Lepisosteus oculatus: one gene and its partners. The protein of the gene in region 1 interacts with the protein of each later gene in a biochemical or structural test. Links are inferred from orthologs where the notes say so. Each region holds a gene or a part of one and is shown in the gene's direction. Other genes may lie near its edges. The genes, in order: usp21, aurka and yod1.

Region 1 (8,027 bases):
ATGCAGTCCGCCGCCTTCCACACCAGCATTGATGAACGTGAATATATATAAGCTTTCAGCTCTAGCAGTTGGAATTGATTTATTTAAAAGTATTTTGTGGGACTAATAAAACAGGAATATGATTAATTTGACTTTGAGTTCCAAACTTTTGATAAAAAAGGTTGTTTTTTTTTCCATCAAACAATCTGTCTTGCAAGCACTCCAAGGAGATCCCGAGCAGCATTCAGGTATACTCATCACTGAGGTCCAGTGAGCTGGAGATAAGGCCCCACCTCATATTGAGATACTGCAGGGACTTCATTCCCTCGCTGAAGCCCTCCAGGGACTCAATGCGATTATCTCTCAGGTGCAGAGTGGTGAGTTTCTCCAGCCTCTCCAGCCCTTCAAGACGCTTGATCAGGTTCTGGGCCTGGGAAGGGAAGCAGAAGTCAATACAGACTGTGCTGTCACTGCTGCTCTTCTTCATAGTGCATTTTAGCACTGAGGTACATGATGAAGATTCTGAAGGCATTTTATTGAGTGTTATGGAATAACGTTGTGATAATAAAGTGATGTATTGCGTGTGAATTATGATGTCTTGCATGTAATCAGGAAATGTGAAAGCATGTTGCTAGAGCTGCCACCTATGGCCTGTCACTAGGTGGTGTCTGTGCTCTGCTGCGATGAGACACAGCTGCACTTCACACAATTCTCAGCAGAACAACCCGCAGTCACACCAGGTACAGTCTGCGCAGGTTGGGCAGGTAGATCCCGTCTGTGGTTTCCAGGCGATTCCCTCTGAGCTCCAGGGTTACCAGGTTCGCCAGGCGCCCATAGTCCAGGCCGGATATTGACTGAATCCCATTGCCTGGGAATGGAATAAATGAATGGAGACAGTCAGCCATTGCACTAGGCAAGTAGGCACTCATTCTTTGTTTTCCCTTTTTTTTCTGGAATATTATTGTTATATACCAATATAAGTATATGATCAAAAACAACATTTGAGAATTACACAAAATGCATATTGTAGACAATGACACCAATAAGAGACTCCAGAAACACAATGGAAGTGATACAGATGCACCAATTAGCATTCTGGAGAAGCAGACCTGCACACTAAAATCTAAGGGTCATAACTCCCACCACTCTTCCTGTGCTCTGAAGACAGGCAGTGAAGAATGACACAGCCTGCTGCACCTGTCAAAGATCCCTCAGCCTGTTGCAAAGAGCCATGCGTGGGAGTTGGTTTAATATATATATATTTGTTTGTTTTGTTTAATATATATTATCTATACATACTTTGGGAAAGCACAATAATGTCCAAAGTTCAATAATAAGAAAATGCAATGTTTTTCAGGACATGATCCTAGAGTTCATAAAAATGTCAGTATGTCTAGAACAGAGGTTGGTGTCAATAGTGTGTAGTTTTTTTTTTGCTGTAGTTCTTGTGTGAGATGACCCTTTGTGAAGGTGCTCCGTCTGCCTATGAAACTGTGAGTCAGCAGCAATCACTGTTTCAGAAGTGCAGTGGCAAACAGCAGTCAGACTGACCAGTCAGGTTGAGGGTCTCCAAGGAGGGCCCTCCCAGCCCCTCCGTGTTTTTGATCCGATTGGACGCTAAGTTCAGCCACTGCAGGTACTCCAGCTGGCCCAGGGGCTGACCTTTGAACCCATCTAGCAGGTTTCCATCTGCTTTGAGCCACAGCAGATGAGAGAGGGAGGCCAGAGGGGAGAGGTCAGACAGGTAATTGGAGGAGATGTCCAGGAAACGCAGGTGGACAAAGCTGGACAATATGTTGAGGTCTGTTAAGCCCCTGGACAGATGAGAGAAATACAGAGGTCAACACCAAATCCTTAATGGTTATAACTGTTGCTGTCAACTTTCACTTCACACACTACATTTCCCATCACTCAGGGTGCTGAGATCTGTCTCTGAGGATATATAGTTGGGTTCCTGATATGACTTTTCCACATGTATTGGGTCTTGGAGAGTTGTTTTGAAGAAACGGTGACGTGTTTGTTGCACATGTGCGCAATCAGCCACAAAAAATGAGCTTTGGGGCCTGTGGTACAAAGGGATCCAGAAGCTTGAGTGGTCAAAGGCTGCTGAATGCTCACCGTTCCTTGAGTTCCAGCCGGACGAAGGCGTGTGCCAGTCCGTTGCCAGTGCGACACAGCAGGGACAGGCCTTCGGAGATCATTTCTGATGTCAGAGGGCAGCTTTCCAGCTGAGGGAGAGAGAACCAGCTCTGTTACAGCTCAGGCAGGTGTGGAGAGGCTCTGCAGATAAAAGACAGCTGCACGCATGCTATACCAGTGTCACAGCAAGCCGATGATTACTATGCTTAGAATTATGTGTTCAGAAACAATGTTATGATGAAGTCAGAACATAAGAAAGGTCACAAATAAGAGGAGGCTATTCGGCTCATCTGGCCAGTTCTGTAGTTAGTAACTTATTGATCCAAGGATCGCATTCAGACATTTCTTGAACTGATCAGCCATTTGTATCACAGCAGACAGATTCATGTATTTTTTACCCTTGTACTTGCTCTTTGCTCTTGTACTCTTGAATCTGGGTGTAAATGTTGAAATTGATTCCTTGTAGCCTGAGGTTCCTGTCCCTGTTTCTAATTGATTCAGTAAATTCAAACTGCTCCAACACTGCACCAGTATGTTATTTCCACTCAGCTATGCCTCAGCTGTTGCTATCAAAACTTCTACCCAACATTTGCCTTGTGACAACAGCTACGATTTAGAAGTTTAGAAGACATAAAATGGCTCCAGCTCAGTTTGCTGACTCTCTGGACAAAGAATCTGGTATCAGTTGCAAGAGAGGAAATACAGCAGAAACACAGGCCGGCAGATTAACATCCACCAGTTAACTCAGCTCCTGCTGGGAAACAGCAGCAGACGTGCTGTCTGCTGGTCTCACTGGTGACTATAAACAGCAGAGCCAACACTGGCTCAAAGGTAGGCTGTAGGCCTGGGCTGTTGTCTGGAACACAAGGGATTGATGACAGTGGCTAGCTGTGCAGGAATGCAGCATTCAGATTCAGACAAATCAATAGCTTCACCTTTTCTTCCTTCTCAAGCAATGCCTCTTCCTCTCCCTGTCCTTCCCCTTCCTCTCTGCCACCCTCCTCTCCCTCCGAGTCCAAGATGGAAGCTGTGTTCCCAGGCTCCGCCACCTCCACTTTGTCCTCCACCCCTTCTTCCTCTCGGTCCGACATCACTTCCTGTCTCTGTGTCCACCTCAGCTGCACAAGGACCTTAAAAACAGATAGCGTTCATGGAACACATGTGACTGTGCTGTTCCCAGCTCTTTCTTTCTAACAAGAAACCAGGACAGTGCAGCTATACACTGTACACTAGCTTATCAGACAGCTAATCTGTTTGCATTTCTGCATTTGTTGATGGACATTAAATTCGTATTTCAATCACAGGTAAATTTACCATCATAATAAAGATTTTCAGAGGAACAAGTAACAGGTTTATTCCATTCTGAAAAGAGAAGAAAGAAAACACAACGTTTCGGCCTTGGAGCCTTCTTCAGGTGTGAGGCAATACAATAAACTGTTATTGATTAGTTTAAAAGCCACAAAAAATATAATTAAACTCTAGATTTAGCCCTACGGCCACCTTGCTTTGTTCACTGATTAAGCCCAGTTGCATTTGAGTGGTCATCGGGCAGACTGAATGGTGTGGGCTCAGCATTCCTCAACAAGGGCCTGTTAGAGGGTTTCAGGTAACAGCTTTTTTAGTCTTACTTCATTCATTTTCTTTATTTGTGTCTCAGCTCCTTATATAAAGCTACTTGTGTGTTGTTTTTTTATTTTCTTCTTTCAAAACATAAAGACAGATCTGCTGTATGGACACACAGTAACATTGTAAGAAGCCGGCTTCACAGACTACAGATAGAGAAACCAAAGACGATTCGACAACTGAAATTAGTGTTTTTTTCTTTCTGCTTTTCAGAGTCAAATGAACTTCGTTTTGTTCGTCTGCAGCTCCGGCCGACACTGCTCCTCACTGGAAACCCTTCAGGTCGAAGACGCCACTTCCTCGCTCCACACAAAGCCTTTAACCCACGAAGCACTTGTGTCTTAGTCGATTGCACACTGAGAATCAGGCGTCTTACATTGTTGTTGTGCGAGCTTGTTGCGCGCTCAGCAGTGCTGCTGTACAGCTCACATACTGTAGGCACAGTGAGATTCCCAGGAAAGAAAATAAAGTGAAGCTCAGAAGAGAAGACCACAACCAAGCCTCGTTCGTCCCAGCTGTTCTAAATCATAATCATTCCCACCGGCACTTCTCAAATACTGTATAAACAGTACATATCACACACACACACACTCTCCTCCACAGTGCTGCGCTGGGGCACTCCTCTCTCTGCCTGCGGGATAGCCCACAGCCAAGCGGGTTCAATCCACAATTACTCCATAAACATCCGCAAACCAGACTGATTCCTGGGTGTCATGAAGATTCCTCATGAAATAATCACAATGTGTTTTTCCTGATCCCACTCGGCTCTTGTCCCTGGCTCTCGCAGGTCCTGAGGGAGACCGGTCCTCCTCAGCCCAAGACAGAACACTAGGGGAGCGGGTACCGGCGGCTCAGCCCGGCCCAGTGCCCAGAGTCGACCCGGCTCGAATCCACTCCGGCAGCAACTAACGCGTTACTGTCGAAACGAAACGCAACTACTTGGAGAAATAATCAGTGCGAGTTTTTACGTTTGCAACACGCTCTGCCCGGACACCACCTCTGAATTCATCCGAGCTCAAGGGAAACCGCTGAGATTATTTTCTCACTTATTTACTGTCGTATTGACACATTGTAAGGAAAAAGAAAGATTTCCCTACCGTCCTGCTGCTGGGTAACACAGTTGACAGCTGTTGTCAAGGAGACCGCACCGGCGAGGAGGCGTGGCTTGGCGTGCCTGCTGCCCAATGATGTGGGAGGAGACGCGGAGGGGTGGGGCTTATGAGTGAGAGTGAGCCAGCCGGGACTCACCTGAGCGCGATTACCTGAGCGCTGCTCTTCACTCAACAAACCACGCAGTTTAGTTACACTGATTTTATTCTGGGTGGCGGGAGAGATATACAGTATATGATGTGTTTTTCGGTAAATCGTTAAAACCCCGGCTAAAAAGCTTTAAACCCTCTGCATTTTGGAAAGTAACTAACCAGTGATGTAATAAAATATATATTACAGTAATATATACAGGATGCCTACTCTATTCGGCAAGGGCTAACTGTGGGCGAGAGTGTCTAAATATAGAGAAAGGAGAGAGAGAGCTGGAAGAGATTAAAGGGGATTAACATTAATCGTCTAAATTCACACAAGTGAAAGACAAGAGATGACAGCACAAGTGTTATCCCGTGTAGAACGAACTGCAGATGTAGTGACATTCCCAATTTACACCAAGAGAGCTCTTGCCAACGGGATTCGTCTTCAGATTTTCGTATCTCTGCTATCTCCGGATAAGGTTAGTAGAGCCTAATTCTTTGTCGCAATATTTCAATTAAAAAAAATACTGATACTTTATTTCTTACTGCAGTCTTTAATATTTTATTTGTTATTTCAGTCAAAAACGACTCTATAGTTATTATTTTACTAAATCATTAAATGCAATAAGAAGCAAACACTCCTACGACTCACATAAATCAAGCCAGCTATTTTGAAAAGCGTTTTTAAAACAGCCTATAACATAACAAACAGAAGAAACGCAAAGCTTTTGCGACGGAGTGACCGGCGCCCCGGCTGGGTCTGCAGACTGTCCAGGAGACCGCCGCGGCGGTGAGAGTGACGCGCCGGATCTCCTCTCCTGAGCGGCTGCGGGAGGTTCAGTCGCGGACAGAGCGCTTCGCCTGGAAGTGAGCTCGACCGGAGCGACTCGGTCTGTGGAAACCGGTCGTGGACCCCAGTCGGACGGGACCCCTGCGCCCGAGTCGCCCGAAGAGCCGCGGCTGTCATGGAGGACTCGTGCCAGGCGCTGTGCCGCTCGCTGGCCACTCAGAGCGCCGTGCAGCAGGAGGGGCCGGACATCTCCCAGTCCGTTCTCTACAGCTCTCTCATGGGGCTGCTCCTGGTGGCTGATAACGAGGTAAGAAGCAGCCCTTGTAACTGTCAGATCCGGTGTTCAGTCAAGTGGTCATCTCCCAGGCTTCTCTCCCTGCCTGTGTGTCTATGTGTCTCATGGAGAGCAAGCTGGGATATGTGAAAAGACGAATTCCTAATGCAAGAAATTGTATAGGGCTAATAAAGTGATGTGTTATGATGTTATCTCCAGAAGTCAATCAGTGTGGTCAGCTCCGGTGCTCAGTCAGTGTTCTGGCCAGCTCTAGTGGTCAACTAGTATAGTCAGTCATGGTCTGATCTGGGCTCCCTGTTGAATCGGTGGTGGTTGCTCTCAAGCGCTTCACCAGCAGTCAGTCAGAGCCCAGTGGGAACAGCGGTACTACTCATCCCTGGGAGCTGGCACCTGACACACTGCACGAGCCCTGCTGTCCCTGGAGCGTCCTTCCTGGTGCACGTGCCCGAGCACGCTCTGACACACACATGCACGTCCCTCCCCTTGAGGAGCTAATGGGATGAGTCTCCATGACCTCTAGTTTGAGATCTATTGCGCGGTAATGAGATCAGGGCTCTAAAAAAAAAGACTGTGGCTAAGGAAGAGTCTCTGATCTGTACCTCCACATCAGCCTGCAGCAGGAATCTGCATCCCAGCTTTCAGGCTCTCACAGGGGCCACTGGGTTTTGATCCAGTTAAGCTCAGAATGACTGAGGTCGTTTCTGTATCCGAGCTGCATCGGCTCATCCCGCTTCCCGTGGTGTTAAACACAGACCAGGAAACACATGAATCCTGCCCAGAACAGGACACTGGCCCACTGCAGGAGAAACCCATACAGCCTGGCAGACTGGAGCAACTGGGGTAATGTACCTCTCTCATGGCATAACAGCAGTGTCTGCAGTGGGGACCCAAACCCACAACCAGCTCAGATACTCATCTATTACACTGTGATGAGGGGCAGTGGGTGTGGCAGTGGGAGGTGTGATGAGGGGCAGTGGGTGTGGAGGTGGTAACTGTGATTCATCTTCCTGTCTGTCTTCCTGCAGCAGGAAGCCAGTCTGACGCTGGGCAGCGGGCGTGTTGGAATCCACAATGTTGGGAATACAGTAGGTAGATCTCCTTGGTGGTTTTTCTGGGGTTTTCTGACCTGGGACCAGGTCTCAACAGACCAAATGTTGTTTTAGGCCCTGGTTGTCTAATTAGAGCTACTTTGTGTTACTCTATGAGGCACAGGTGCGTGATTCCATCTTTGTTCTTTTATTTACCTCATTCCTTCTGTTCTTCATTCCACCTGTCCCTCTGTCTCTCTTGCGCAAGTGTCAGGCCTTCACCACAGCTCTCTGTGTGTCTGCAGTGCTTCCTGAACGCCGTGCTGCAGTGCCTGTCCCACACGCTGCCCCTCAGGGATCACTGCCTGAGACAGCGGTACCTGCAGGACATGGGCACCCGCAAGCCCCCAGAGCTCATGAACGGTACTTTGACATCTGGCCCTGCTGTGACCAGCAGTATTCGAGCCAGGCGAAATTCACAAGATGCTACACTAGACGAGGGCTTTTTACATTATCATGAGAGATTATTGTTTACGTTTTCTGCCCCCCTGTGAGTCTGAAATGGGTGAAGTTGTTAGAAAACAGATAGGTAAATGGATCTCTTTCAGATTATGGTTATAATATATTAACATTTCACTGCAAAATGTAGTTCTATGCATAAATTCATAGTATTTTTATACTGAATCACTATTTAATATCATGAAGTGCTAGAGTTAGTCTTTCAGGAATGACAGACTTCATTTTTGAATGTTTGGAGAAACAATTCTTTTGAATGTGCCACCAGTAGCAGCTGCATCTGTGGAACAGAAATGTACGATAAAGCCTGTAGCAATGCACTTTGGGATATCACCACTGGTCTGATGTCACACGCTGGCGTGGATAGCAGAGTCACCATTGCTGTCATCCTGCTGATCTGCTCTCCCTGTCTG
Region 2 (8,066 bases), on another chromosome or scaffold:
AGTTTTATGTAACCTGCCGCGCCTCGGGAAGGTAGTTTTCTTCGAGCGGTGCTCTAACGAGTTGGGCGGAGTAGGTACCGAGCTAGTTTAAAATGTACCTTCTTTTTAAAAACGCGAACTCCTTCGTGTCAGACCTGACCTGCAAGGCGTTTGCTCCCGCGTGTTGGTGGACGAGGGTGCGAGACCCTTTAGATCTTCAGTGTTGTGCGTCCCTGTCTTGTTACATAAGACATTGGTTGATTTGGACGAGAGGCTCATTTACAGGCCCCATCCCCAGGATCCTGAGAAGTAAGGAATTTTAGACTGGGATTATCTTTCGTGCTGTGTGCTGACTTGTCGGGTGTGGAGCTTGTTCTCCCTGCTCCCTTGGGCTGAGATCTGGCAGGGGGAGAAGGCGATGTCAAACCTTACTTTCGTGTGCACATACAGTGCCCGCTGCCTTCCCCTCGTGAGTGTACCTGTGTGTGTGTTCTCGCCGCGTGTTCCTTTCCTGCAGAGTAGCATTGCATGTGCCTGTCCGCCTGTCCCCTCCGCTGAGGCGCGCTTGTCTGTGCTCCTGCAGGGCCGCGAGGCGATGGAGTGGGTCATCAGGCGGCTGAACTCCGAGATCGAGGAGCTGGCGGCGACCGCCCGCAACACCATCCGGACGCCCATGGCTGCTGCCGCCGTTACTGAGAAATGACCCCTGAGCCCGGGCCCTTACCAAGGGGCGCATCCTCCTCTCGCCAGCACGGCCTCCCTCTGTGTCGCCGCAGACTAATTTATTGTGTGTTCACGCCGACGGGGATCTCCGATCGCCTCTCTGTCCCTCCTGCGCTCGAGGGCACTCTTGATCCAGTGTGATCCAGCCAGGTGTGACACAAAGGGAGGCTGTGGAAACGTATTTATTGCTTGGGCGGGCAGCCTAAGACTCTGGATTTGGTGCCGGTCCTGCGAAATCTGGCTCGTTCGTTATTCTTTTTTGTTCCTTTAGGTCAAAACTCTATAAAGGTTTGTGGGGAACCTGGGCTCCCAGCGGGGGGGGGCACAGGTACTTTCCTGACGGCGCCGGTTCAGACTGAGCTGGGCTGTGACCATCCTGCCACCCCCCAGCAAGAAGGTTTTGTGAACTGGACCTCCTGCAGCTTGTCCGTGGTGCTGTCCGGGTCCAGAAAGAGAGGGATTTGGACTGCTGGGACCCGGCGGTTCTGGGTCAGAGGCAGTGGCGAATGCCGTCTCAGCCCTGGGCTAGAGGGGTGGGGAGGAGAGAAGGGATTGGGAATGCAAACAAAAACTACAGACCAGGTCTGCTGTCAAGGGTGAAGGATATTTATTTATTTTATTTGTAGAGGTAGCGATTTAGCACTTGTAAAGATTCTATTTATTTGAGCCACGTTCTCGCAGCTGACTGCTCCTCATCCAGAGTCCTCCTCTGAGGGCCTGAAACGGGCCCTAGCACGCCGGTTCAATCCGGCAAATATCTCAATACTTGAATGTCAAGTACTGTACGTTTCTCTTTTGGAGTATTAACTGTTGTACCAGTGGAGGAGACCACGGGAACAGAGAGCGGACCAGGGCCGGAGGGCGCGCAGTGGTGCTGTGCACGGCTGGCGTCTCTGAGCTCAGCTTGCGCTGCCCGGGGTCGGGGGTCAGGGGTCGGAGGTCGGGGTGGGGGATCCTTCTTCAAAAGGTTTACTTGCTGAAGCGCTCCAGGAAAGAGGGGGCGCCGCCCTGGATAAATGCTGGCTTTGGCAGTGCCACAAAAGCGTGCGTAGGTCAGAAAAAGGAAAGGGGCGTCTTTGTCTTACACGCACAAGAAAGAAAACCCACGAGTGGAGAGAGGGTACTGAGAAACCAGAGATGGGGGAGGGTGGGACTTTTTGCTTGCTGTACAGTAGGAGTTTAAAGGAATTGTGTATCTTTCGAATGTTCATAACTTTTCTTGTTACCCTGTCATGTAACAAAAAAAGTCCTAGTGTGTTTGGACATTTTTGGAATGTATTTGACCGAACTTAGTGACAAGAATTCAGTGATTGCAGAACTGAAGTCATTTCCGCACTGTGAGCCCTTTTGATTTCTCCGCGTTGACCTGCCATGACCCTGAGGGCATTATATTACATTTGGTCTACATCTGTCTGTAGGAAACACACTACCCACCTCACTTCTTCATGGTGTACATGCTGCCTAGGCTGTGCTTTGCCACTAGACTCGCATTGCCCCTTGTCTAAAAGCTGAGCTCAACAATGTCTGATCCTCTAGGAAGATGCGCTGCTGAGCCACAGTGGCATCAGAGATCTAAACATAACTGGAAAGGTTTGATGCTTTTTCAACACAAGCATAACCAGCCTGTGTCACATTGCATGCACCTGACCTTCTGAGAGACCTGCAAGGCTGTCAAGCTGTTGCAGTCCTTCTGTCACCTGCCAGCTACCTGTGGTGTGAGTTTTATTCGGAAGAGCGAGTGACGTCACGCTACAGGAATGCGCAGAGCTGTTGGGAGTAGGGAGCGGTTGTCAGGATGAAGCTGGTGGAGAGGTGGGGAGCCCGAGTCTTTAGAGTGATGCCATCTCCTGGTTTCTCCAAGTCCAGGCCCGTCGAGCTCCAGCCCTCGCCGTCCACCTCCGCGGGGCGTTTTTACAACAGCCAGCTCTGCGGTCACCTTATCCAGACTGCAGGCAGGGGCCGCCTGCGGACAGGTGCTGTGGCAGCGTGGAGACCGAAGGGTCACGCAGCACGCCAACGTGTGCTCTCCTCCACGACCTGCACAGCGACATGGATGCCGATTCAAGGGAGCATGGATTTTCCCCGTGCCTCACCCAGGGTACCCATGAAACTGCTCGGGGGCTTTTGCAGGCGAAGGTCTTTATTTGGAAAGATCTAGTTCTTTTTGTACAAAATTCCACGATTCCCCCGTGCAGACTCGATAACGGACTCCCACCCGTTTCTTCATCCTGTACGGGGCTGCAAAGAAAAAGTCCCGAAAACGCCCTCTCTGCCGGTCTGGCTTGGTAGAGCGATGCATGTCGGGAAGCTGGTGTAATTAATCCTGTCCTGAGCGCCGAGTTGCTGCGAATCTGTAATGCATGAATGCTGACTAATTTCTACATGCAGGAGTCTTTTACTTTTGTACTAGCGGGTGTGAAGCCCGAGACTAACTTTAACTCTGACTTCAGAGGAGTCCCCCTCCGCCCGCGGGAGTCATTTCCTTGGAAGAGTTTGTGTGAGCCGGAGTGTCGTGACACGGCGGCTGTTCTCGCCTGATCCAGCGCCGGCCTGCCTTGCGAGTTGCCGTTTCGAGAGCTGTTGCTCCGGTGAAGGAGGATGATGGACCTGGAGGCGAGCTCGGGTGCTGTGCTGTGTGGCAGTCATCTAACCTTCGCTATGAGCTCCTGGATGTGTGGCACTACTGAGGGGCCTGGGTTGTGACTTTTTTTATAGGTACACAGCATTTGTGGTGCTTTATAATGTTTTTATACCAATAGACTATGGTTTAAAAGAACTATCAGCTAGAATGTGTGCGGTGGGGGTGAGGGGGTAGGATGCATTTTGTTAAGGCAGGAGAAGGGTGTTTGGTGAGGAGTGAGTGCGGGTCTGTGCTGTGTGTGATGGAACAATACCGATGTCAACAACATGCTTAACGAACTTGTAACAACTATATGCTTAATAAACTTGTAACAATTTAGCCTGGGTGTTTCTTTCTTCACAAGTGGGAGTGGATAGTGGGGAAAGGATAAGGAGCTGCACTGGTCAGTTCTAAGGCCGGTTCTTTAGGGTCACAGGAGTTTGGTTTCTTATTTTTGTTCCCACTCATTATGACACCAATTCCTCCCGGAGGAACTCAAATTGGTGCTGTTGGATCTGGTTGCTGGGACTGGGAGAAATGGGGGTGAGGCCGATGTTCTCTGGAGACGAGACGGCTTTGGTATCCGTCCTGCGTTCCTGCTGCTGTGAGACGTGTGGCTCAGGGATGGAGCCTGGGCTCCCAAATATCTGCCAGAGCTCGTCTGAAGACGCCGAGTGACCCTGCAGGCCGTCTGTGTCTCTGATGAAGACCAGTATAGGAGGTGAAACGGCCAGGTGGTTGGTGCTGCAGACAGAAGTGTGTTCCTGCAGAGGCATATTATCATTGCTCTGGGTCAAGGAAAAACTGTCCCTGCTATAGCACCCCGTCTCTAAGACGGCCTCAGAGCAGCTGCCCTCCTCTTGCAGTGTCTTCCAGCTCACGCAGTCCTCATCTGTAGCCGGGGGGTCAAAAGGCCTGTGGTTTGGGAGTGACACAGGCTGCTTGCAGGTAACATGTGTTTCTCTAGTGTAAGTACACTGGCTACAGAGACTTTCAGTGAAGACTGAGAGGACAAGATGCATGTCTTCACAAAGGCTGAGGTGTTGACAGTGATCAACTGCGTAACGGCGAAGGGGGCTCAATTGGAAGCTGTGTTTAGTACTCCATACAAGGTGCATGTCTTTCCACAAAGGGTTGTAGGAGTCTGGAACAATGCATGTTACAGAAGCAGATGGCAATAGGTTCATAAAGAAGAACCAGCTGAACGAGAGCCTTAGATCGACTTGAAACGGCACGGGTAATGGGGGAGTGGAGGCACGCTGGGAAATTCTGAATTCAGCCATTCTTTAACCTGGTCCTGAAGGACTTCTCCCTACTGAGCCCTTAATCACCAGGAAATTAAAATAATTATTAATTTAAAAGGATTCAATTTTTTTAACTAAGATTTGAGAAATATGATAAAAACTTATTAGCATGGAGGATTCATTTTTATATTACGATAATAGCCGTATTATCACACGGTCTTGAGAAAATGGTTCTCGCCGCACAGCGGCCGTAGACTTGTCCTTTGGCGACAAGCAGGGGGCGCTGTGGGAAATCGCAGCACCTTTTACACCGGCTCTGTACGGTTGGAAAGGCGGCCCCAGCCAATGGGGAGCAGGGGCGTGGTTTGATCTCGGCCAATCAGACGCGGGGAAGGTTTAAAGGTAGTTAAAAGAGGGAGATTTGAATTTAAACAGATTGTAGTGACGTGCGATAGGAGCATTGCGGCCTGCGGGCTGGCTCGGCAAAAAAACTGTGGGTTAAAGCTGAAAATAAGCTCTTCTAATTCTCGGATTCGCCTGGTAACGTACCTGAAAGGATTTAAAATACAGAGACGGGGCAGAAAGCGCGTTTCGGGTGTGCGAGGAAAAGGAGACACGAAAATCCGTCGTTCGGCCTGAACAAGTAGCTAAAAGCGGTACGTGAGAGCGCTTCTGATACTAACGTGGCCTTTTTTCGTTTTATCGTGATCATCTGTCATCTATCATGATCATATGTCAACCAGTTGTGGCTTAGAAGTCTTGGTATATGTAAATAATGTGCTTGTTATTGTTTCCGGTCCGGCGTGGGATATGTATCTTTTGTGGAGAAATGTAGTTGCTAATCAAATATTTTTCAGCTGTATGTGTAACAAAACCGTGAGTGAAACGGAGGTGGCAGTGTCGTGTCCATTCAGGCTTTGGGGAAAAAGGTTCAGAAAAATGCGTACGGTTTCCACGTCGCCATAGGAGACGCGTTTATACACCAAACGATGCGTCTTGAACAGCGAACTAGCCGAATTCGCTTATCTGCAGCGGGACGCCTTTCAGACGTCGATTAAAATCGTGAAGATTATCTGCAGGTGTGTCGCCCTGGGATTTTTAGTTGTGGTGGCGATCGTGTTTTATTTTTAAAATAAATTGGGTATGCTGGTTTGTATTCTAGATCCCTTAGTCGTGTATTTTTAAAGGAGACAGTCGACTTTATTAGCGTAACTCGTCTTGTTTTAATTAAGAACGCGTATAAGAGTTTGAACATCTCTCTTTCCTTCATCGCTCCTTTCTCCAGTGATCCATGGATGCGGCCAAGACGGCGAGGAGGTCGCAGTGTCCTGCGACTGCGAAAGTAAGCTGTCGCCGGTGTGAGAGCCGCCGTGCGCCTCCCGGGATCGCCGCTAGGGGGAGACTCGTACCCACTTCCGAATTCCTGATCGTTTAGTTTCTGAATGCCCGTGCTGCAGAGGGGCCAAAGATCACGTGTGCTCCTCGGGAGGGCGCAAATGCAGGGATAATTTCCGCTTGCACACAGTTATCCCCTCCACCCACACGGGGGATCTTTTGTCTTGGGTATAACCATGAAAAACCGATTCTCAGGGGGGGAAAAAGTTCTGATCAGTGCTTGCAATTGGTCCGGTGGTTCCTGGTCCTGGTGACCTGCAGGTTTGTGTTCCAGCCGAGCCCTTAGTCACACAATCAAACCCTTCATTCGCTTAATAATAAGATTAATGTGATCTGTTTGTTCCCGGGTCTTACACATGCTGGAGCTTTAACTGTTGTACTTTGTAGGTGAGAGAAAATCCCTAACTAAAAACACAATGCAAATATTCACCGGAAGCAGCTCATTAGCATTAGATCAGGTAGGGCTGTGATTATCTAATTACAGTGGGATGGAATGAAAACCGGCTGGTGTGCAAACGCCTTACCTCTCTAGTCTGATCTCCTTAGGTGACAGTTGTTTCTGCTGTGACACAGAACCAAAGCTTAGGAAACTGTGGCTCATTTCCCATGTTTCACTAAAGTTAGCTCTTCCAAGCTTTCTATAATATGTCTGTTTTCTTTCATTCCAAGGAAAGCTTGGTGTTTTGAAACTGCACTGGGCAGGAGTTCTGGAGTGTTGTAGATTAAGGCTACCTGCAGTGTGAAGTGTGGTCCCTGACTCTCCTCTCCCCATGTGTTAGCAGCTCAACAGCGACGGCCCTAAACGGGTCCCCGTGTCCCAGAACAAGCAGGCGGGTGTGTCCACGTCCTCCCAGCGGGCCCTGGGCGTCTCCAACGGGCCGCAGCGCGTCCAGCGCCCCGCCGGGCCGCAGAAGCTGCCCCAGCCTCCGGCCCTGCGCATCGAGGCCTCGCAGGCCTCCCGCGAGAACACCCCCCCGCCCGCTCGGGGCCGGACCACCTCCTCCTCCTCCGCTCCTGCCCCTGTGGAGCCGCCCGCGCAGGAGAAAACTGCAGGTGGGCAGCCCTGCTTTCCCCAGTCTGCGGTGTGACACTGCTGGGCTTGGGCCTGTCTGAGGGAGGGCTGACGGAACATGAGCTCTGGGATAGCTGAAATAGAGCATTACTGGTAACTTTCAGAATAAGCAGCGGTCTTCAGAGCTCCCCGGTACTTGCAGTTCACTTATTTCGATGTGCTGGAGCGAGGAGTGTCCAGTCTGAGACATCGGGGACTCAAGTCAAGACCTGTTGGCCGTTGGGCATAGAGAGGCAGGAGAACGAGCTCTAGATCAGCACAGGCACATGTCAATAAAGGAAATATCTTGGATACATGAAGGATCTGCACACAAAGTCAAATGTTCTTTTACACTAATGTTCAAGAATGTCCCTGTAGTAATTGTCCTTTTTCTTGTGCAGATAAAGCTGTGGCCACTGGATCTATGAACTCTGTCAACTCTAACTCTAAGTAAGAACCAGGAATTGAACTCTTGGGGGTCACATTTTCCGTATTAAAAAAAAATGCATTGTCCTTTTCTCAAGCCAGCAATTAGAATCGATTTCTTTACTTTGCTCCTGGTGCTACTGCTCGTCTTGCATGTGAAGGGGGGGACACTAAACCTAGATCAGGAGAAATTGTTTTTTTTCTAAGCCACTTCTCATATTTATCTAATGGGAAAACTTCCTGAATCCCGTTCCTTCTTCCTCAGGAAGCGCTGGAGCCTGGAGAACTTCGACATCGGCCGGCCGCTGGGAAAGGGCAAGTTCGGGAACGTGTACCTGGCGAGGGAGCGGCAGTCCATGTTCATCCTGGCCCTGAAGGTGCTCTTCAAGAAGCAGCTGGAGAAGGCGGGCGTGGAGCACCAGCTGCGCAGGGAGGTGGAGATCCAGTCGCACCTCAGGTACACCTCCTGCAGGCTCCTTGGGCCTCCCCTCCCGCCGTGGGGAGACGCCCTGTTCACGAGCTTCTCAACATTCCCATGTGGAGAGTGGAGGGCAGTTGAGTGCAGGGAAGTGTCGTCGTTTTTGGTCGCTTGATGCCCCTTAAGCTGAATCATTTTCATAGATGTACT
Region 3 (7,882 bases), on another chromosome or scaffold:
AGTTAGTGCAAGTTATAACATTATGTACACTGATGCTGAGCCAACTATGTATCTTGGCATTAAAATAGAAAACTAATATACAACAAGGCCCCTGGACTTTCAGTTTTAGGTCTTTGTCTTAAACTGTATAATGTGGTTAAAAGGAAGATGAGGAAAAAAAACTGTTAATGCATCAATAGATCCTAACCATAATATGAAAAGTTTAAATCACAGCCAAATAAAATGTGATGGACATTAATATTCATTACAGGGGGTTTACAGTGCAGTATAATTAAAACAATTTCTTTTTTTTGTGAAAGCAAAACACTGCAAACAGTTCCAAAAACAGCTTTGACACTGAGAGAAAAAAAAACGTGACTTGACTGTCATGATCTTTTTGTATTACAATGAGTACTCTGACCATCTCATGGACATACCAAATAAGTCTCCACTCCACACTTAAAATTGATAGACTTTCAGGCAGCAATCCGTCAAAGAGAAGGGTCCTGTTACATCTAGCCGTCTGCAGTCAGTGCAGTCATAGCAACAGCAATAAACAATTTCCTATTAATCAGGTGATGAATAACTATCGGGCTTTAGCACAAATGTCATACTGACAATTACATATTGAAACACAAAACACTTAAATACACTGCCTACAAATCTAATCTGCCTACAAATCAAATTTATATCATTCCTTTGAATATTAACAGGAATGTTGATAATAATTGCCCTCCATTCAGTAACCCCCCAAAACAGACTGATGTAAACGGATACCTGGTACGCAATTATTTCGCTTGCAGGAGGTTATGTTCTTTTACGGATCTTCTCCCCCCTGTGAGAAAGACAGAGGCAAACCTCCACTTTTGACGTACAGTCTGCTGTCGGTGCTTCTGTGTGAGGCAGCGGACAAGAGGAAAGATCCGGGTATAAAGAACGGGCAATGCGGCTACTACAGCAGGTAAGCAAATTCTTCGCCAGTGCCGCAGACGACCTTCCTAATGTACACCGGGTACATGAATGAAGGTGTGTCCCTACGTCACAATCTGTCTACCGTAACTCTCAGAGTACTAGGACTCCAAATACTGCGCATTACGTAAGCTTGGCTAAGAAATCTTGCATGAGCTGTATTTGAAATGACGCTCGTTCTGTACTTGCATATTTTATTTAACGGAATCATACGTAACCCAATCCACTTTAATACTGTCTTGTGTATTGTTGTGATGTTACAGTGTATCATTACAAGTATGTTGCTTTTGCATTATACATTTTAAAAATTACATTTAGTCAATGGGCGTACCAGTCGAATGGTTTCTATATTGGAAATTCTAGTTCTCAATAACTTGAAAGTATGGTAATTGTTTTGTGAATGCGCGGGGAACACCAAAAAGTAAGTTGTTTAAATTGTTTTAAACTATTATTTTAGGCAGTACGGTACGGACAGATAATAACAAAGATGCTTTGTTTTTAATATTATCGTTCCTATTGCATTTTAGCGTGTTATTACGGCATCAAAAGATTAAGAAAGGTTAAGCAACACATCAGCAATTCCTTACCCACGATATGGGGTAATGCACCCATGAGAAACTAACAGCCATGTTGCCCTGTGGAGGCTTACACTACTTTCTCAACTGATGCTTTTAAAGAGAACCAGGCTGCTAACTGGATTTCTCCCAGATTTGCACTGTGAGAACCAATCGGATGCTCTCCCCAGCCGACTGGGTCTCAATAAGATCTTCGCTAACTGCGGCTCCTTTAAAAGCCAGTATGATGCAACCCAACCGGCCGCTTACTACAGTATTCGATAACATTTCTCTTGGCACGTTTGAGACTACTAAAACTGGAATAATAAAAAATGCTGAAAGCGCATTTCCCCCAATTTGGTTGTGCTCGCAGCTATAAATAGACGGTGCATCTTCATCTGTTTTCCTTGATGAAAGATTCCGCGTCCACTGTATACAGTATGTCCCCAGTGCAGTTTCAAAGAACAGATCCAAATACAAACAGAAAGCGCTGCACCCAAAGAGCATACAACAGGGAATCCCTCCATCTCGTAATTTCTTCTTTAAACCCTGTGCCATGTCCTGACTCACGGATCGACTGGAAAATCCTCTTTGGTACTGAAGACTTAACTGTGCTGCTTTTATCTAATATTTTCCGATAAAACATTAGAATATATCGCAATGCAAAGATAACTTTACTACGACCAAATAATACTTGTGCTTAGCTAGACAATAAAACCAGGAGAGTTGACCGTCTTTACAACTTCACTCAGCACAGGCGCTAGAATCGCAGTTAACCGAAACTCTTACTTGCTAAAATAATAGGACACGTTGAATTAATGTGCGTTAAAATCTGATTCATAATCTGATGTCTTATTGAATTGATTTATTGTGAAGACTTTTAAGTATTGATGTGGTGGCATAAATGAACTGCAAAAACACTATTAGCCCTGTGTCTGCAAAGCGTACAAGGCTGGGTCTCTAGTGACATCTGCTGGACATTATAGGGTAGTGTTAACAGTGTATCGACTGTATTTTGCAACACTTTGTGACCACGAAATCATTAGAGACGGGAAAGCCATGTTTTTCATGAACTGATGAAGAAAAGAGCTTTCAATCAGAGTGAGAAACTCAATAACACAATAAATGGGGCGAAATAATGTTGTTGCAGCAATATCTCAGTGTGCTAATGCTTCTGACAGTCTAATACAAACAACTGGCTTTTATGCCCTTTGTACGCTATTAACACAATTAAGACGGCAGTCTGAAGTGTCACACACTCACATCTTAATGCAACCAGACAGTTATTATTCACTACCTTATTCAACAAGAAATTCTTTGTATGCATATAAATATTATTTATAGCACTTCTCATCTTGAAGGATCCCAAAGTATTATAAGATGGGACCAACTCCATCCACTAGTGCTCCACAGATCCCAGCTGGGTAATGTGCAGATTCCACTTGACACAGAAATTAAAGTGAATTAAGGGGGGCAATTTAGGGAGGGGTGCTCTCGTGAACAGTTCCATTGCATCTTCATTAAACAAATAATTCAGGATCTAAGTCCATCATCTCACGTAAAGGATGGCTCCGTCTACAGCCCTGTATCACTTGGTCACTATTATTAGAGTCCTAGTTCAGAAATTCTGGTTCAAGAGTCCAGAGCGCCACTAACTGGTTCACCATCACCAAGCACAGTCAGCTTCACATTTAGTGAAATGCTACATAAAATCCGTCATTTCAAAGGCACTATTTTGTCTCTTTTTCTTATTTTAAGAATTATGAAATTTCCTACTTACAGGTACTGACAGCTGAAAAAAACGTCTTTCTAGACAGCGCATAATATTTCCTCGGAATATCACTGAGGTACCTAGAGCAAATGTTGTACTTCACATAACGCAAAAGAGTTCTCAGTATTGCAATACTTTTTTGATATTTTTCCAAGTGTGAAATACATTCATAAGAATACTTGAAGAAGATTCACCCTAAATTACACATCAAAGGTGCAATGTTACTTTTTTCTTACCCATTTAACAACCTAATTTCTTTCCCCCCTCTCTTGCTTTAGTGGTGATATTAATTCATTTTTTAAGCTGGCAGGCAAGTTGTTTGACAAAACTACAACTAATAAAATTCTAGTTTTGCAGAAGTATGTTAAACTCTACTGTCCTGTCTGCAACCATTTGGGGGTAAATAAATATAACCAATAAAAAGCAAAACAACTGCAATGTATTGAGTTCCCAGCAAGTCACTATTTAGGTGAAGGACATGAGTTAAAATTATTGATGTAAACCTGATGCATTTGCTTAACTGTCAAGAAGAAACCCCTAGATGTGCCACTTCAGCACAACTTGAACATATATCTGTTAAACACTAAGTGGCAGAAGAAAGCAGAAATGAATGTGTACCTTTGTAATGGAAATCGCTTACTGCATATATGTGAATTATGTGCCTCCCCCCACAAGCAGCATGTCCCTTCAACTCATAAAAAGCATTATTCAAAGGAATACAACTCAGGAAGTACTACAAAATAGTCTTCAACAAATTCTGCTCCTGAGCAAAAGATGTCCAAATTGCCAAAATAAAAAGTATTTAGCACAATGCCGTGAAAAAATAACTACTTTGTGTAACGAACAGTTCTTTCCGGACCCTATGCGGACGACACAGTCCGACGGAGTGGGGAAACATTGGGGAAACGTCATGCAGGAAAACGGGGTTGAAGACAGGGGGGCGTGTCCAAGGTGCGCTGGTGCACGGGGGAGGTGTGGCCGAGGCGAACAATCCTGGAGTAGTCCTTAGGGAAAATCCAAAACACACGAGTAAGTCCAAAACCAGGAGATCCATCAGAACAAGAATTAAAAACCACGAAGGCCGGGTCGGAACCGGCGGACGGGGAACAGGAACGGGAACCGAGGTTAAAACCTTAACGGAACCAGGCGCTTCCTGGTCCCGGACTCGCACGATATGGAAATCAGATGCAGAGGCCGGAAGAGCGTCAGCGCCTGGCTTTTAAGGTGGGCAGGGAATGGGAAACAGGTGCAGAGAATGAAGTCTTTAGTGAAAGGGCTGGAGCACCCTTAAGGAGGGGGGACTATAGTCGTGACACTTTGAGGGTTCATTATAAAGAATAATGCTTTGGACGGACACTTTGAGGACATTATGACGGGGACACTATACTGTAAACAGGAGAGTGGAGTGTCCAGAAAAGCACTATATAAGTGTAAGCAATTATTATTATTATTATTAATGTGTTCTGCCCCTTTAAAGCAATAGGAAAAGGCTCTGAAGTGAGTCCAGCCTCCTGCTGGAAGGCAGCAGAACTGCCTTCCAATGAGGATGTAAGAGGGTTGAGAGGGTGTTGCATCAAACTGATTGATATGATGATACTGAATATGATTGACTTTGGCTGGAAACCTTTCAAGCATTTCTGCCACAGGGTGAGTATTCATTTGTTTGGTAGTTCTAGACATCTTAACCTGAACAGCAATATAAGAGCCAGCAGCCATATCACTCTGCAACTCACAACTGGCAAGCCACTGAAGCTAAGCAGGTGTGAGCCTGGTCAGTACCTGGATGAGAGACCTCCTGGGAAAAAGTAAGGTTGCTGCTGGAAGAGGTGTTAGTAGGACCAGCAGGGGGTGCTCACCCTGTGGTCCATGTGGGTCCTAATGCCCAGCATAGTGACGGGGACACTATAGTGTAAACAGGCGCCGTCCTTCAGATGAGACGTAACACCGAGGTCCTGACTCCCTGTCATTAAAAATCCCAGGGTGTTTCTTGAAAAGAGTAGGGGTGTTACCCTGGTGTCCTTACCAATAATGGCCTCCTAATAATCCCAATCTATGAATTGGCTTCATTACTGATACCACTGATAGCTGATGTGTGGTGAGCGTTCTGGCGCACTATGGCTGCCGTCCCATCATCCAGGTGGATGCTGCACATTGGTGGTGGTGGACGGGAGTCCCCATTACCTGTAAAGTGCTTTGAGTGGAATGTCCAGAAAAGCGCTATATAAGTATAAGCAGTTATTATTATTATTAAGAGAAACTGGAATGCTTCCAGAGTGTTGTCTATAGGCGGAACAGATTTAAATCTGGGTCCTGCAGAGCTCTTTGGAGTGTGAAACTCCAATTGGTGGCAAACAGCAGGAGAACTTTCTAGAGACCACAAAAGCAGGATGCGCTTGAATCAGCCCATAGAGCCTGCCAACTGTCCTCTTGCAGTACATGCAGAGGAACGGGATAGGGAGAGGTACTGTTGATGTTATTCAGCCCATCTGTTTGCAGATTGAGAATGCAGATTTCTTGAGCAGCGAATGACTGTGGCTGAGCTGCAAACTGATAAGTTTATACAAATTGACCATTCAGATTTTTCAAAAAGGTATTTTTCAGCATGTGACACCCCCGTTAAACAAATCTGAGGGAAAAAATATTTGGAAAGACCAGTTTTATTTACAAAAAGACACCACTGGACTGGCATATTAAATACAATATTGACCAAAAGCTTAGACAATCTTACCTAATATTAATAAACTGATATAATGGCTTAAGCAAAAAAGGCAATAGTTTCATTCTAAAACCTTGCCCTAAATGTTATATATGACCTCCAGCCCAATCCTCAATCCCAGGCCTATAGTGCAAATGCTAACCTTATCATACTGTAACGCAACGGGGCTCCGGCGGGCGCCCTTGCCGCATTAGGTCGGCCCCTGCACCGTCCGGGGCTCGAACCCGGGACTTCCGCGTCTCTCTGCAGCGACCTAGCCCCGTGAGCCAAAGAGAGATCTCTCCACAGCCCAGTAGCTGTGGTCCTGCTATCACAGGGAAGGGCGGTGACGTCACCCGCTCTGGTACGCCGGCTCTTACACAGCGCCTGTCGGCCGTAAGCGTTACAATACTATATAGCACCTGACCCCAAACTTAAATGTACACTCTAACCAAACCTAATCCTACATCCAACAATAAACTCATGAGTGTACAGTGATATCGGTCAGCTCTGATGACACATCAGACCATTTTCTGACCTCAATGCTGACCCTAGCTCTGCTACCCAGTCCTGACCACCTCTTTTCCAACTGATGTAAAAGCAACGATCGACAACGATCTTATTTCACTTAGGGTAAAATGCCATTGAACTGTAGTTTGTAGTAACAGGTACTGTAGGTTAATACTTAATAACGAAATAAGGACAAACACCAGTTCGTGCAACCACAAAGAAGGTCGTTATGTTTAATTTACACTTAATGCAACATTGCAAGCTTGCTTTGATCTTCAGAATGAACCTCACTATTTCAGCAGTGGTGTGTACCCGACACCGCCCTTACACACTGAATACCAGTTACAGTGCAGCGCATGGTTTCACTTTGTGAATACGCCTTGCATGAACGTGAGGCTGCAGCCTCAATCGCAAAGTCCGATTGCAAGCAATGCAGACTGTAACTCAAAATCCGATTCCTTCATTTTTAAAGGCCGGCGTTTTCGTTCACTGGTGGGTGAAAGAGAGCATTAACGCTGTGAATAACGTCCACACATTTAAAAAAAACAATTGCCACCTCACCTTTCCTGGAAGGAACTGACATCCTGTAGCACCAAGGCTCGACAAATCCACTCACATTTACTTCCCAAACGTCAGAAATGACGCCTATTTAGCTGGTGATCTGGGTAATTAGCACAGTTAAACTAATTTCTCCGTATGAGCAAATATTACAGTGATACAATAAAGTGAATGAAGGATAGGTCAATCGTTGCGGTTAAGATTAATGTGTCCATTATTTGACGCCGTTTACGTTTAGGCTAAACAGAGCTGACAGAAGTGGACTAAGCTTTTCTTTTCTGAAATGCGTCCAAAATCCATATCCCCAAAAGAAACGACTCACTGAAAACGAGCATCCAACTCCGATTTCCTCTTAAAAATCCTCACCTTCAGCTGTTCTTCACAACAGGGGTTTAAATCGACCGTTTTTGCGTTGAAATGTATTTGGGAAGATTTTTTATAACTACTGAAGTACGATAAAAAATAATTTTGAGTCCGTTTCTATTTATTCTGCAACACGATGTGCGATTAAACACTATTATTTGTGTAGTTAAAATAAGTAAAATAATAAATGGTACATTTATTATTAGACATTAGAGATGCAACAGAAATGAACGAGAACCTGAACAGAAGACTTTACATAAAAAGATGTTTTATGACAGACACTTGCAAGCTTTTAGAGACGAAGACAAAGACTAATCACAGAAGCAGCCTAATGATTATCCATACCCCGTTTTTAAAAATTAAAAAGGCAAACAAAAGGGTGATTATACAGCCTTGTAGTTTGCAATCGTGAATTATCCAGTCTAACAAAAATACAAACTGTAACGGTTACAGAAAAGGGGAGTTTTTTCCCCTAATCATATA

What was found.
Region 2: the proteins of usp21 (region 1) and aurka form a complex in vitro, tested with the Homo sapiens proteins (2 studies listed by BioGRID, with this or other methods). The link is inferred for Lepisosteus oculatus from reciprocal best matches to the Homo sapiens genes USP21 and AURKA.
Region 3: the proteins of usp21 (region 1) and yod1 form a complex in vitro, tested with the Homo sapiens proteins (2 studies listed by BioGRID, with this or other methods). The link is inferred for Lepisosteus oculatus from reciprocal best matches to the Homo sapiens genes USP21 and YOD1.

Annotation. Positions count from the first base shown.
Region 1 is NC_090697.1:77,986,013-77,994,039, reverse strand, and holds the start of usp21 (ubiquitin carboxyl-terminal hydrolase 21), read left to right. Parts: upstream 1-4,992; 5' UTR 4,993-5,464; intron 5,465-5,697; exon of another isoform or gene 5,698-5,751; 5' UTR 5,752-5,950; coding exon 5,951-6,082; intron 6,083-7,095; coding exon 7,096-7,155; intron 7,156-7,403; coding exon 7,404-7,521; intron 7,522-8,027. Other genes in the region: lrrc23 (leucine-rich repeat-containing protein 23), read right to left, coding at 273-409, 717-847, 1,531-1,793, 2,098-2,207, 3,054-3,209. UniProt on the Homo sapiens protein: Deubiquitinates histone H2A, a specific tag for epigenetic transcriptional repression, thereby acting as a coactivator.
Region 2 is NC_090711.1:2,943,178-2,951,243, reverse strand, and holds the start of aurka (aurora kinase A), read left to right. Parts: upstream 1-5,009; 5' UTR 5,010-5,222; intron 5,223-5,851; 5' UTR 5,852-5,857; coding exon 5,858-5,908; intron 5,909-6,740; coding exon 6,741-7,014; intron 7,015-7,413; coding exon 7,414-7,462; intron 7,463-7,703; coding exon 7,704-7,895; intron 7,896-8,066. Other genes in the region: prelid3b (PRELI domain containing protein 3B), read left to right, coding at 563-682. UniProt on the Homo sapiens protein: Mitotic serine/threonine kinase that contributes to the regulation of cell cycle progression.
Region 3 is NC_090700.1:33,690,961-33,698,842, reverse strand, and holds the start of yod1 (ubiquitin thioesterase OTU1), read left to right. Parts: upstream 1-4,856; 5' UTR 4,857-4,920; intron 4,921-7,039; coding exon of another isoform or gene 7,040-7,061; exon of another isoform or gene 7,062-7,225; intron 7,226-7,882. UniProt on the Homo sapiens protein: Hydrolase that can remove conjugated ubiquitin from proteins and participates in endoplasmic reticulum-associated degradation (ERAD) for misfolded lumenal proteins.